Rattus norvegicus: one gene and its partners. The protein of the gene in region 2 purifies or fractionates together with the protein of the main gene of each other region. This does not show direct contact. Links are inferred from orthologs where the notes say so. Each region holds a gene or a part of one and is shown on either strand. Other genes may lie near its edges. The genes, in order: Grb2, Themis and Ptpn11.

The links.
Region 1: the proteins of Themis (region 2) and Grb2 purify together in Homo sapiens (co-immunoprecipitation; 6 studies listed by BioGRID and IntAct, counting the BioPlex papers as one, with this or other methods). This does not show direct contact. The link is inferred for Rattus norvegicus from reciprocal best matches to the Homo sapiens genes THEMIS and GRB2.
Region 3: the proteins of Themis (region 2) and Ptpn11 purify together in Homo sapiens (co-immunoprecipitation; 3 studies listed by BioGRID and IntAct, counting the BioPlex papers as one, with this or other methods). This does not show direct contact. The link is inferred for Rattus norvegicus from reciprocal best matches to the Homo sapiens genes THEMIS and PTPN11.

What each region holds. Positions count from the first base shown.
Region 1 is NC_086028.1:101,445,219-101,449,318, reverse strand, and holds the start of Grb2 (growth factor receptor-bound protein 2), read left to right. Parts: upstream 1-1,180; 5' UTR 1,181-1,241; intron 1,242-4,100. UniProt on the Homo sapiens protein: Non-enzymatic adapter protein that plays a pivotal role in precisely regulated signaling cascades from cell surface receptors to cellular responses, including signaling transduction and gene expression.
Region 2 is NC_086019.1:18,382,709-18,386,353, reverse strand, and holds part of Themis (protein THEMIS), read left to right. Parts: intron 1-735; coding exon 736-1,787; intron 1,788-3,645.
Region 3 is NC_086030.1:41,024,762-41,028,907, reverse strand, and holds the start of Ptpn11 (tyrosine-protein phosphatase non-receptor type 11), read right to left. Parts: upstream 2,830-4,146; 5' UTR 2,654-2,829; coding exon 2,640-2,653; intron 1-2,639. UniProt on the Homo sapiens protein: Acts downstream of various receptor and cytoplasmic protein tyrosine kinases to participate in the signal transduction from the cell surface to the nucleus. Positively regulates MAPK signal transduction pathway. Dephosphorylates GAB1, ARHGAP35 and EGFR.

The DNA of each region.
Region 1 (4,100 bases), on a different chromosome or scaffold from region 2:
GCACAGAACACGACTTTCTCACGCCTCCATCCATCCCTCTGTTCTTCTGTGCTATTCCGTTTGCCGGCTATGGGCTTACCCTGGCTCCTGTGCTGTGCAACTCCTACTCACCCTCAGCACTCGGCGGCACATCACCTTCTTTGTTAAGTCTTTTATGCAGTGGGCAGAGGAACAGAGCCAGCCTTTCTCCATCTTTTTGGCTTCCTCAGCATTCCCCCAAAGTACTATGTGTAAGTGTTATAGTTTGTGTGTGTGTGTGTGTGTGTGTGTGTGTGTGTCTGCACGAGGGTGTGTGCAGGTGAATGCCGGTGCCATCAGAGGCCAGAGGCACTAAATCTCCTGGAGCTGGGGTTACAGACAGTTGTGAACCATGGGATGTGGGTGCTGGGAACTGAAATCAGGTCCTCTGGAAGAGCAGCAAGCGTTTTTGTTTTGTTTTTTTGTTTTTTGTTTTGTTTTTGACCTCTGAGAGGTCTCTCCAGCCCAAGACATTACTTGTTTACTCTTCTGGTGCTTCTCTCGATTGATTGAATCGCTTAAGGGCCAGGATCTCTGCTCGTCGTTTCATCTTCTTTACCCAGCACAGTGTTTACCTACAGTAGGTATGTAGTTCACTCGGTGAACGGACTAATCAAACAGTTCATCAAACACTGCAGGTTGTACGAACCAGATTCCCAAACATTTCTAGATCTGGTCCTCTATTTGGGTCGAACCATCCTGAGATCTGCCGCCCCTCGACCCCTCCTCGAGGCCTCTTTGCTTTGCTTCGATAGAAAGAACGCTATTCGAGTGTGGAAAGCGCTATTCCGCTAGAGCAGAGCTGTAATTCACTTGCTCCGGCACGCAGAGGGTTACAACGGCCCAGGGGCGGAGCCGAGTCCCTGCCACCTGCTGCGGGGCGAGCTGACGCATGCGCGAAGTCCCCCTTAGGCTACCTGCCGGGCGGAGCGGAGGAGGAGCGCTTGCGCTCTGGGCCTTTTCCGCCGGGGAAAGTCTCGCGGGGGCGGGGCGCGGCGGGGCGGGGCCGCGTGGGGAAGTTCTCGCGGGACCCTGGCGAGGAGCGGAAGCTAGGCTGCTCTGCTGCTTCTGCGATCGGGCGGCGGCGGGGCGAGCCAAGCTGCGGCGGGGGACGGCGGTCTGGGCAGCGGGCGCCGCAGTCAGGGAGCAGCAGTGAGGTTGGCGGCCGCGGGCGGCAGCACAAGGCGGGCCAGGCCGGGTGAGGGAGCGGACGGCACGTCGCGGTGAGTGCAGGAGAGCGGGCGGGAAGTGAGCGGGGGCTCCGTCGTCCCCGCGCCGCGCCGGGCAGCTCGGGCCCGGTCTGCTCCGGGCTGCCGGGGCGGGCCGCTCGCGGGTCGGGGAAGGCTCGGACCGGAGCGCAGCGGCTGCGCAGCCGTCTCCTCGTTTCCCCTTTTGGGGCGCTTCCTTCCTGGTGTCGGTCTTCCTCCCGCTCGGGGCAGAGACCGGGCGAGCCGACGATTGAGGTCCGGTGTGGCGGCCGTCCGGCTGGGCGCAGAGGAGCCCGGAGCAGCCGAGAGGCACAGGGTGCTGCTCTGAGTCAGGCTGACTGAGCCCGGGAGGCGGGGGATTCGGTGCCGGCTGCTAACGTGGTGATTGATGCTCCTTTGACCTGCAAGGCAACCACGTCACCGTCTCTTGGCATCTTGCGGTCGAATTGTGTGCGGGAATCCACCATGACTTAGAATGATTGTTACCCGGACCCACCGACTGGTCTTTGCGAGAGTTGGGAGCTTCTTTTGTAGAAGTACTTGAGAAAAAAAAATACTTGTTGTGGGGGGAAAAACAGCAGCAGCTGATGGGAATGCTGGCAGGAAGGATTTTCGCGGAGAGAGCCCCGCTGGTTCATGTCCGTTTGCAACGCTCTAGGTTGTGTGGGTTTGTAAGAAAGTGATTTTTAGGGTGTCTTCAAAAGCTATATAGCAGTGCAGTTTGCCGGGAAGCCGAGGCGCGTTCAACGTCCGTCTTTTGATGGTGTTGACATTCAAAAAGAGGCTAGAGAAATTGGCTTTCTTTTGACTTCTTCGCCTCTCTTTCACTTTGCCCTGCAGTTTTTGTCCTTTCAGTCTCTATTCCACTCCACTAGGGACACGAAGTACATTTTTTTAAAAAATTTATTTATTCTATGTATATGAGTATACTGTAGTTTTCTTCAGACACACCAGATCCCATTACAGATGGTTGTGAGCCATCATGTGGTTGTCGGGATTTGAACTCAGGACTTCTGGAAGAGCAGTCAGTGCTCTTAACCGCTGAGGCATCTTTCCAGCCCCACGAAGTACATTTGTAACGCCAGTCATTGGCGCCTCCACCCCCTTTAGAAAATAATCTACTTCCCCTTCTTGTTCTTCCTCCGCTATAATTTTCGAAGTTTCTGCCGGTTTGAGCACTGTTAATTTTCTCAGTCGTTCTAAGATCCCCTTTTTGGGGGGGGTAGATACCTTCCCTTGTTTGCATTTCTTTTTTTTTTTTTTTTTTTTTTTTGGTTCTTTTTTTCGGAGCTGGGGACCGAACCCAGGGCCTTGCGCTTCCTAGGTAAGGGCTCTACCACTGAGCTAAATCCCCAGCCCCGTTTGCATTTCTTTTAGACTGTCCTCTGTATTCTTCAGCCAGCCAGAAGGGCTACTAAGGAGCCATCGGGGTGCTTGAGGGGGTTTAAGTTCTCCCCCTGGGAACTAGAAAACCCAAAGGACTGAATTCATTGCTAAGTAATCGATAGTGCCATCAGATCACAAGTGGATTTGCCTGTTCGCTTGTGCTATTTGTATTTTGGTGTTTTCTTCACAAGGTATCCTTTTGTGCCTACTATTTTCCTTCTTTCTCTCTCCTGTTTCTCTTCTCTGTTAGTAAGGAAGATTTTGAGCCAGTTTGGAAGCTGAAAGACTCCCCCCCTCCCTTTTTTTTTTTTCGGAGCTGGGGACCGAACCCAGGGCCTTGTGCTTGCTAGGCAAGCGCTCTACCACTGAGCTAAATCCCCAACCCCGAGGTCAACTATTGTTAAATGAGAAATCATCCGTGGAGTTTGTGAAGTAAGATAGCTTGAAATAGAAGAGAACTTTGGATATTTGTGAATTAAGTCCACCTTCCTCTCCTGACTAATGATATAGTCCTAACCAGGCTTTTTAAAATGATTTTTAATTTTGTATGTGCTTGAGTGAGTTTTGCCTGCATGTATGTATGGAAACCGTGTGCATGCCTGGTGCTGTCAGAGGCTAAAGGAGGACAAATACCTTGAACAGGAGTTACAGAGGGTTGTGAGCAGCCATATATATATGTGTGTTAGGAATTGAACCCAGGTCCTCTGGAAGAGGAGTCGGTGTTCTTTAACAGCCTGAGTTGCTATTCTCTCTAGTCCAATAGTTTTAAGCACTACTCACTGGTACTGAGGGTTTTTTCCATGATTTCTGTTATGTCGCATGTATACAGCAGCCCTTATGGAGAATTATGAATTAGGAGACAGCAAGACAGAGCTGCCACTCCCGGACAGGCATTTGGTGTCGTTACCTGCTGACCTCAGAGGCCTACACCTTTGGCCACGGTTATTGAGATTTATTCTTCTGTGTTTGTCAGAGTTGATTTTCCCGAGTTGTGCCAAGTCTAACATACATCATTTTCATTTTGTTCAGACGTAGTGCACTGAAATGCAAATTTTAAAATTTGCTTAGTGCTTCCTCATTTTAGCCTTGATTCTTAAAATTTGTATGTATAGACATAACCTGCCAATTAAGGAAGGGCTGGAGAGATGGCTCAGTGGTTAAGAGCACCGACTGCTCTTACAGAGGTCCTGAGTTCAATTCCCAGTAACCACATGGTGGCTCATGACCATCTGTAATGGGATCTAATGTCCTCCTCTGATGTGTCTGAGGACAGCTACAGTGTACTCATATATAATAAATAAATAAATAAATCTTAAAAAAGAAACCTGCCAATTAAAATTTTTTTATCCAAAAAAATTTTTTTGAGACAAGGTCTTGATATATTGTACAGGTTGGTCTCAAACTATTTCTCTATTGATTTATTTTGAGGCAGGGTCTCTCTGTTTAGTCTTGGCTTTCCTGGAACTCTATCTGTAGGCTACCTGGGCT
Region 2 (3,645 bases):
AAGTGGTGGTCTTACCTCTGCTCTCAGGTGTGTCAGCGCTCCTGGTAACCAACTTTGAGCTCTGCGCACAGGCAGAAACTGGAAGGATCCTGCCCCTGACTGCTCCTAGGTTCCTGTGACTGCTCTAGGTGCACGTTCTGCTTTGGTCATGAATGTGAACAGAAGTGGTGTTTTTCTCTGAGCTCTCAGGATTGTCTGCACTCCTGAGAGTCCAACTCTCTCCCCCATGGGATTTGGGTGCCGAGAGCTGTGGGATCGGGTCAGCTCCAGGCACAGGCAGAAACCCATAAAGGTTTTACATATAATCCCTGTATCTCAGAAACATGACTTAAAATCAAGTGATAAGACTTTCATACTTGTCTATTTATATGTACATTCATATAGATATATGATACATATCATAAAATATACGCATAAATTCAAGAATGGGCAGCATTTGAGTCAGGAGCATAATTACCATTTATAGTAATAAGCAAGAAGTAATTTTTGCTGAGATTCACAGAGATACAAAGGGTTGGGTAACCTCTATTTCTTAAGTTGAGCATGTTGGTATACGTATCCCTTTTTCTCATCATAAAGTTTCAAAACTGCAAAGTCATATATAAAGAAAATCATATCATGACTATTTGAGTTCTTTTCTCTTCCCTAAATGAATAGTGCCAGGAGACTATCTCTACCAGGATACCACGAGAGCACTCTGAACAAAATATCAGTTATTTTCTCTTTCATTTTCAGTTCAAAAGGAAATAGTCCGGATTCTCCCCAGTTTAGACGTTGAAGTCAAAGACATTACTGACTCTTATGATGCTAGCTGGTTTCTTCAGTTGCTGTCTACAGACGATCTTTTTGAAATGACCAGCAAAGAGTTTCCTGTAGTAGGTGAAGTCATCGAAGTATCTCAGAGGAACCAACTGCCCCAAAATATTTTACAGCCTGAGAAAACCATTATCATCCACAAAAAGTACCAGGCTTCAAGAATCTTAGCTTCAGAAATTCGCAGCAATTTCCCTAAAAGACACTTCTTGATCCCTACTAGCTACAAAGGCAAGTTCAAAAGAAGACCCAGGGAGTTCCCAACGGCCTATGACCTGCAGATAGCTAAGAGCAAGAAAGAAACTCTCCACGTGGTGGCCACCAAAGCTTTTCATACACTTCATAAGGAGCTATCCTCTGTGTCTGTTGGAGACCAATTTCTAGTGCATCATTCCGAGACTACAGAAGTTGTCTTTGAAGGAACAAGAAAAGTAAACATTCTTTCCTGTGAAAGAATCCTCAGTAAGTCCCGTGAAGCAGCACAGCTTCCTCTGTATATGGAAGGAGGTTTTGTAGAGGTGATTCACGATAAGAAACAGTACCAGATTTCTGAGCTCTGCACACAGTTCTGCTGGCCCTTCAATGTGAAGGTGGCTATGAGAGATCTCTCCATTGAAAACGACATTTTGGCAGCAACTCCGGGACTGCAGTTGGAGGAGGACATCACAGATTCTTACCTACTTATCAGTGACTTTGAAAATCCCGAGGAATGTTGGGAAATTCCCGTGGGCCGCTTGAAAATGACTGTTCGGTTAGTTAATAGTAGTAGTTTGCCTACGGATGCAGGACCACTTCAAGTTAGGAGTCTTGTAGAAGAGATTACCGAGGAACAGTATTACATGATAAGGAGATACGAAAGCTCAGTATTACATCCCCCGCCTCGCCCTCCCAAACACCCCTCAGCTGAGGATATGAAGCTAACCTTGTTGAGCTTAGCAGAAGAGAGAACGATAAATCTGCCCAGGTCTCCCAAGGTAAGAGAATGATTTCAGAGTTTTATCTTCTTCTTGAGGCAATAGGTTCTAAGCTGTTTATGAATACGCTTTTTGTTTCCTTTCTTTTTTTCATGCCAATCTGAAGCAAATCTGCTTGACACGTGCTCCATGAGGGAATGTGAACAGAGCAGAAGCTACTCTCTTGTAGCATTTGATGCTCCATCAGTAGATAGGGCATGGAATCTATGTAGAGGTAGAAATAGAAGGGATGGCATTTGGATATGACCACATGAATTGACATTCTAATGGGTCTTGGCGATTAAATATGTTTAATAAGATGCCCCACCAAGAAAATCCCTTTTATTTTAGAAATGTGGTTCATTTTCCTTAGGTAGAATTATCTTAATACTTCATTCAGGAAATGAGCATAGAATAAATTCCCAGCTTCATAGGATGGGGGTGGGGAGTTTACTGGTAACATGCATCTCTAACGCATGCCTTCATTTTGTTTTATGTGCAGAAAGGTGTAAAAATATCTTGGCCGAACTGTGTGAGAGAATGAGGGCATCTACCCACATAATGCCTCTTAGAATTGTAATATTTAGCAGTTCTACTAGAAAGATGAAGTCAATAAACTACAGACACTAGGAGGTTTTAACAGATCCACAACTGTTCAGGACATTGGACAGTGGTTTAGCATTGTTTATACTTGATGTTGATTCTTGAGCATGCCTGAAGGCTACCTGAGCCAAACCTACCCCCTCATCCAGAATGCACATTCTTTTAGTGTGTGTGTGTGTGTGTGTGTGTGTGTGTGTGCGCGTGTGTTTTGTGTGGAAGGAGTGTGTTCCCCAGCAGATGTTGTGCTAGAAGCACAAGGAAAACTAAGCAATTAGTAAAAGAGATACTTTCCGATTGCTTCTCATATTCAGAAAAGATAGTATTGCTGGACATCAAGACTCATATGTGGATGCTGATCTGCCTGAAATTGTATGTATGAGAGACTGTTTTAATTGTATGCTAAAGGTTAAATCCTTAAGGGTCTCTGAACTCATTTGCTGGAAAAAGAATAAAGCCACCAACATTTCATGTCTGATAAAATCATTTTTAAAAATGACTAAACAGAACAGTTACAAAATAATATTGAGCAGCCGACATGTAGGATTTCTTTGATGCTTACACTTAACATGTTGTTTTCACTGAGTTGAATGATACAAACACTGGTGTATAGGTTCTTGGCACGTAATTTTAAAAACGAAGCAAGAAAAAAAAATCTCACACATATTTGCAGAAGTAGCAAGGAAACATTCAAAGCAGAGCCTTAGAGCAGATCAAAACCACACTTTAGAAGTGACAGTGGGCCCCGTGAGTGAAGACATTCAAGGGCTCCATTATTGTTTAAGTTTTCATTTATGGGTCCAAAGGTTGCCAACTTGCCATGCCTAGGAAGACAGACACTCAATTGATGGAATGCATCCACCTTACTGGCCTCTAGGGATCTCTGTGGGGCGTGTCTGTTGTTACTATGGATATAGTGTGGTTGGTTGTCCATTTTGATTGACAAGCTTACATAGGCTTTGGTCGCTGTGTGTGTCTCTGTCCAGCATTCGTCTGATTTTAATTATATATAAGCATAAGAAATTGAATAAGGTATTCCGAACAGATTAGTAAGTGCATTGTTCAGAGTGGTGTGTGTGTGTGTGTGTGTGTGTGTGTGTGTGTGTGTGTGTGTGTGTAGTATATGTGAGTTGAAAGTCTCAGACTGCCAAATTTTCTGATATGTGTGAATGATGGTGTAGAATTCTAAATGACTAAACCATTCCCTATTCTTGCCTACTTCAAAGTGAGAAATGGATACTTTCCTATATTTTATTGCTGGGTAGAATAATATCACCCA
Region 3 (4,146 bases), on a different chromosome or scaffold from region 2:
GAAGGCTCACGAAAATGTGAAGTCTGCAATGCTAACCAAAATGAACTGTTTTAGGACTAGAGACAGTGGCACCGCCAAAGCAGAGGCAGGTGGCTCCGAGCACTCAAGGTCAGCCTGTTCTGCGTAGAAAGTTCTAGGCCAACTGGTATGACATGATGAGACCCTGTCCAGCTTTACCGTGATGATTAAGTAAAACAAACATCAATATGGTGTTCGCCATCCAAGTGTCAGTTCCTATGATCACTTCCTCAAAGAGACCTTCCCTGAATCCCCCGTCAGAACGCAGAGCCTTCTTAGCTCCTCAGGCCAGCACAATAGCTCAGTGTGAAAACGTACACTGCTAACAACCTGAGTTCCATCCCGAGGATGCAATTGTTTTCTGACTTCCACATGTGAACACGAACACGAACACACACACACACACACACAGAGAGAGAGAGAGAGAGAGAGAGAGAGAGAGAGAGAGAAAGAAAGAGGGAGAAAGAGTCAATAACTGAGATCATGGAGAGGAGAGAAAACAAAACACGTGTACTAGTTATAAACAGTTGCTGCTCTTGCAGAGGACCCAAGTTTCATTCCCAGCACTCGTGTGAGGCAACTTAAAACCACCTTTAACTACAAGTCCAAGGGCTCTGACACATTCCTCGGACCTCTGTGCGTGCACACACAATATTAAACAAAAAAACATAAAAAAAAAAAAAAGAAAGAAAGAACCAAGACCATTCGGGACTGACGTGAAGATACAGAAAAATCCATGGAAGAGAACCGAGTCAAGAAACAAACTCACATGAAGGACAAGTATCCTTCAACAATGGAGCAGACTCTACCTGTGGAGAGGTTCCCCAGCAGCTGTGCTGGGACAACTGGAGAGCCCCATGGAATAGAGAGCAGGAACCCACACTTCACACAGTAATCAATTACTGACCCCAGGAATGAGGCATACACATGCATTCACATGCTTGCAAGCTACCTATACATGCAAAATCAAAACAGATCTTTATAAAACTAGGAAATCAGAACTCAAAGATACAGACAAGCTGTATGCAGCCCTCACAGAGTAAGACTGGAAAGTAAACAGTGACAGCCCTTCTGTGGGCAGGCTGCAAGTGCCTGTACACAGTAAATTCAGCCATTCAACTTGTAGATGGCCACCGAAGAGGTGAGACCATACTGAGGCCTTTGCAGGAGCATTCTCAGAATCACATGTGAGTGACAAATTCTAGAGACAGCCAAAGGTCTGTCAGAAAGGGTAAAAAAGGAAACAGCCCTACAATGGGAACGCTATACAATTGGCAGCAGCCGAGTAATAGAACTCTAGCAATATGGATGGATCTGTGAACGTGGACGCTGTACGCTACGCCGGGGTGTGGCGGCACGTGTCGCCAAGCCTGACAACCTGAGTTCAATCCCTGGAACCTGTGTGGTAGTGAGAGCCAATCTCCATGTATCAATTTCCGACCTACAAATGCATACCATGCCTTGGGTCCACACACAATGAATAAATACATGTTAAAAAAAACTTTCAATAATAAAAATCAGGACACCCCCCCCAAAAAAAAACAGTCCATAGTTGTCTAATGTCATTAATACAAAATTCTAGAAAAGTAACAACCAAACAGTGGTCGAAGGAGAGCAGAGGACTGGTAAGAGAGAGCTGAGAAAACCTTACCAGGAGTGGTGACATCTCCCAGATGTCAAGGTTTATCATGTTGTCTGCCGGATCAGAAGCAACTTATCTCAATAAAGCTGATTTTAAAACTAAATAAAACAAGCTTTTATAGTGATCCAGACTGTATAACCCCAGCACTTACAAGGTTGAGAGGTAACGGGAATGTAAGTTGGAGGCTAACCTGGGCAACACAATGAGAGATTCTCTTTCCACCTCTTACCAAGGTAAAAGGCCACAATGTACTTAATTCTGGAAAACTCAATTTGGTCCATGTTTAGAAAGGGAGACCACCACCCACCTCGTACCACTGCGGTACGTGTTAAGCTGGCTTCTAGTAAGAGCGAAGTCAATGTCAATAATTGAGTCTCTGAAGTTGAAACTCACTAATCCTCCTCCTGATCTCAGCTTCCAATCCTATCCTGTGACGAGCACTTTACTTCCGAGCCTCAGTTTCCACATTCGTAAGACGGGAACGCACTCGTTACCCGAAGGAACAATTCCACGACCAGATACAGTTCCCTTCCCTCCCACCTTTCAAAGCAAAGATCACAGTGGGGTTGGGAACACTCCCAGAGGCTGCAGACAGATTCAGTTTTCCCACTTCTGGCACTTGGGGCGAGGGTGAGGAGGCGAAAAGGGGGCACCTGAAAGGGTCCCGTGTGAAGGCCCCGCGGTGGCCCGGGCGCCTCCCCGAGCGCGCGGGGTTATTTCGGAATCCCCAGGAGGCGACGCTCATGAGGCAATGGGTCAGGAATGCGACGGCCGGCCGGGCCGCGGGTGTCCCCACGGGCATCCCGAGTCGCGGGAGCAGGAACTCGGGGCGGCAGGAAATGAATGGGGACCCGCGGGCGGGGCGGTGGGGCGGCGGGGACGCCGCGCCAGTGGGGAGTCCGAGTGTAACCCCCAGCGGCCGCGCAACACAGAAGCGGCGGGGACCCAGGCCGCGGCCCGGCTCCTGCGGGCGGCTCACCTCCGGGATGTCATGTTCCTCCCGCCTCCGGCTCCGCACGGACCCGCTGCTCACTCAGGCTCCACGAGGCGCCGTCACATGGAGGGGGCCGAGTGAGGCCCCGCTCGGGAGCCGACACGGGAGCGGGCAGAGCCGGCCGGCCGCGCGCACAACCCCTGGCAGGCCTGGATCCCGGACACTGCGCGGCCGCCCCGCCGCCCGGCTCGCTCCGCCCTCGTCCCCGCCCCTTGCCGCCGGCGCCGACGTGAAGTCATCACGCCCGCCGCCACAGCCACTTTCTGCTTCCGGTTTGCAGGGCCCTGACCAGTGCTGGAGGTTGGGGAGGGGGGCCTCCTCCTCCTAATCTGTGCGGTTTACAGACTTGAACGCCAGGGAGATTCTTCATCTGGGACGCCGCACATTAGTGCGAGTACACACTACGCATCCAGTGCGGGTGCACACGTGAAAAGCAAACAAATAAGCGGAGGATGGGGGAACCCGAGTTCGGTTCCCAGCACCTGTATGGGGCAGCCCACAACCTCCTGTAACTTCAGTTCTACCGGATCCGCCATCCTCCGCGGGCACGTGCACATACCCACACATTTATAGATAATGTTTGATGATTTATTCCTTTTGCCTCACAAGGTGGTGTACCCTTTAATCCCAGCACTAGGGAGGCAGAGGCAGGTGGATCACTGTGAGATCGAGGCCAGCCTAGTCTGTATTGGGAGTTCCAGGACAGCTAAGTAGGGAGACCCTGTCAAAAAGAGAAAGAAAAAAAAAAGATTTATTGCTTTTTATATTTTTTTAATGTTAGTGTATTAGTAGTCGCCTTGCGTGTAAGTATGTGTGTAACTGTGTGTGTGTGTCTGATGCCCAAGGAGGTCTGAAGAGGACAACAGTCCCTGATAGAGTTACATGGCAGTGAGCCACCATGTGGGTGCTAGGAGCAAAACCCACGACCTCTGATAAAACAGCGTTCTTTACTGCAGAGCCATCTAACCAGCCTCCCGTTGATTTTTTTTGGGGGGTGGGGAGGGGGAGTTGTTTGTTTTTGAGAACAGAAACCTATATGCCATGGCCATACTTCGACAGCTTGAAGTAAGATGAGCACGGTTTTCTTCTCTTTTTGCCGTTTCACCCATATTGGGATTAGCAATCCTGACAAGTGATTCTTTTTCTTTTTTTTTTTTTTTTGGTTCTTTTTTTTTTTTTTTTTTTTTTTTGGTTCTTTTTTTCGGAGCTGGGGACCGAACCCAGGGCCTTGTGCTTCCTAGGCAAGCGCTCTACCACTGAGCTAAATCCCCAACCCCCGATTCTTTTTCTAAATTAAGAAATTTGACCTTTTCCACTTCAAAGAAACACTCCATAACTTCTCTTTTGAATGTCCAAATTTGTTAGTACCAGTGCACTACTCTGGGGGTTGGGGTGGGGTCTCTGTTAGATAAATGCAGGTTTTCATGAACAGCTGCATCTTAATGAAGTGTAAAATTATAAAACTGATATACTGGGAGCTACATAGATGGAA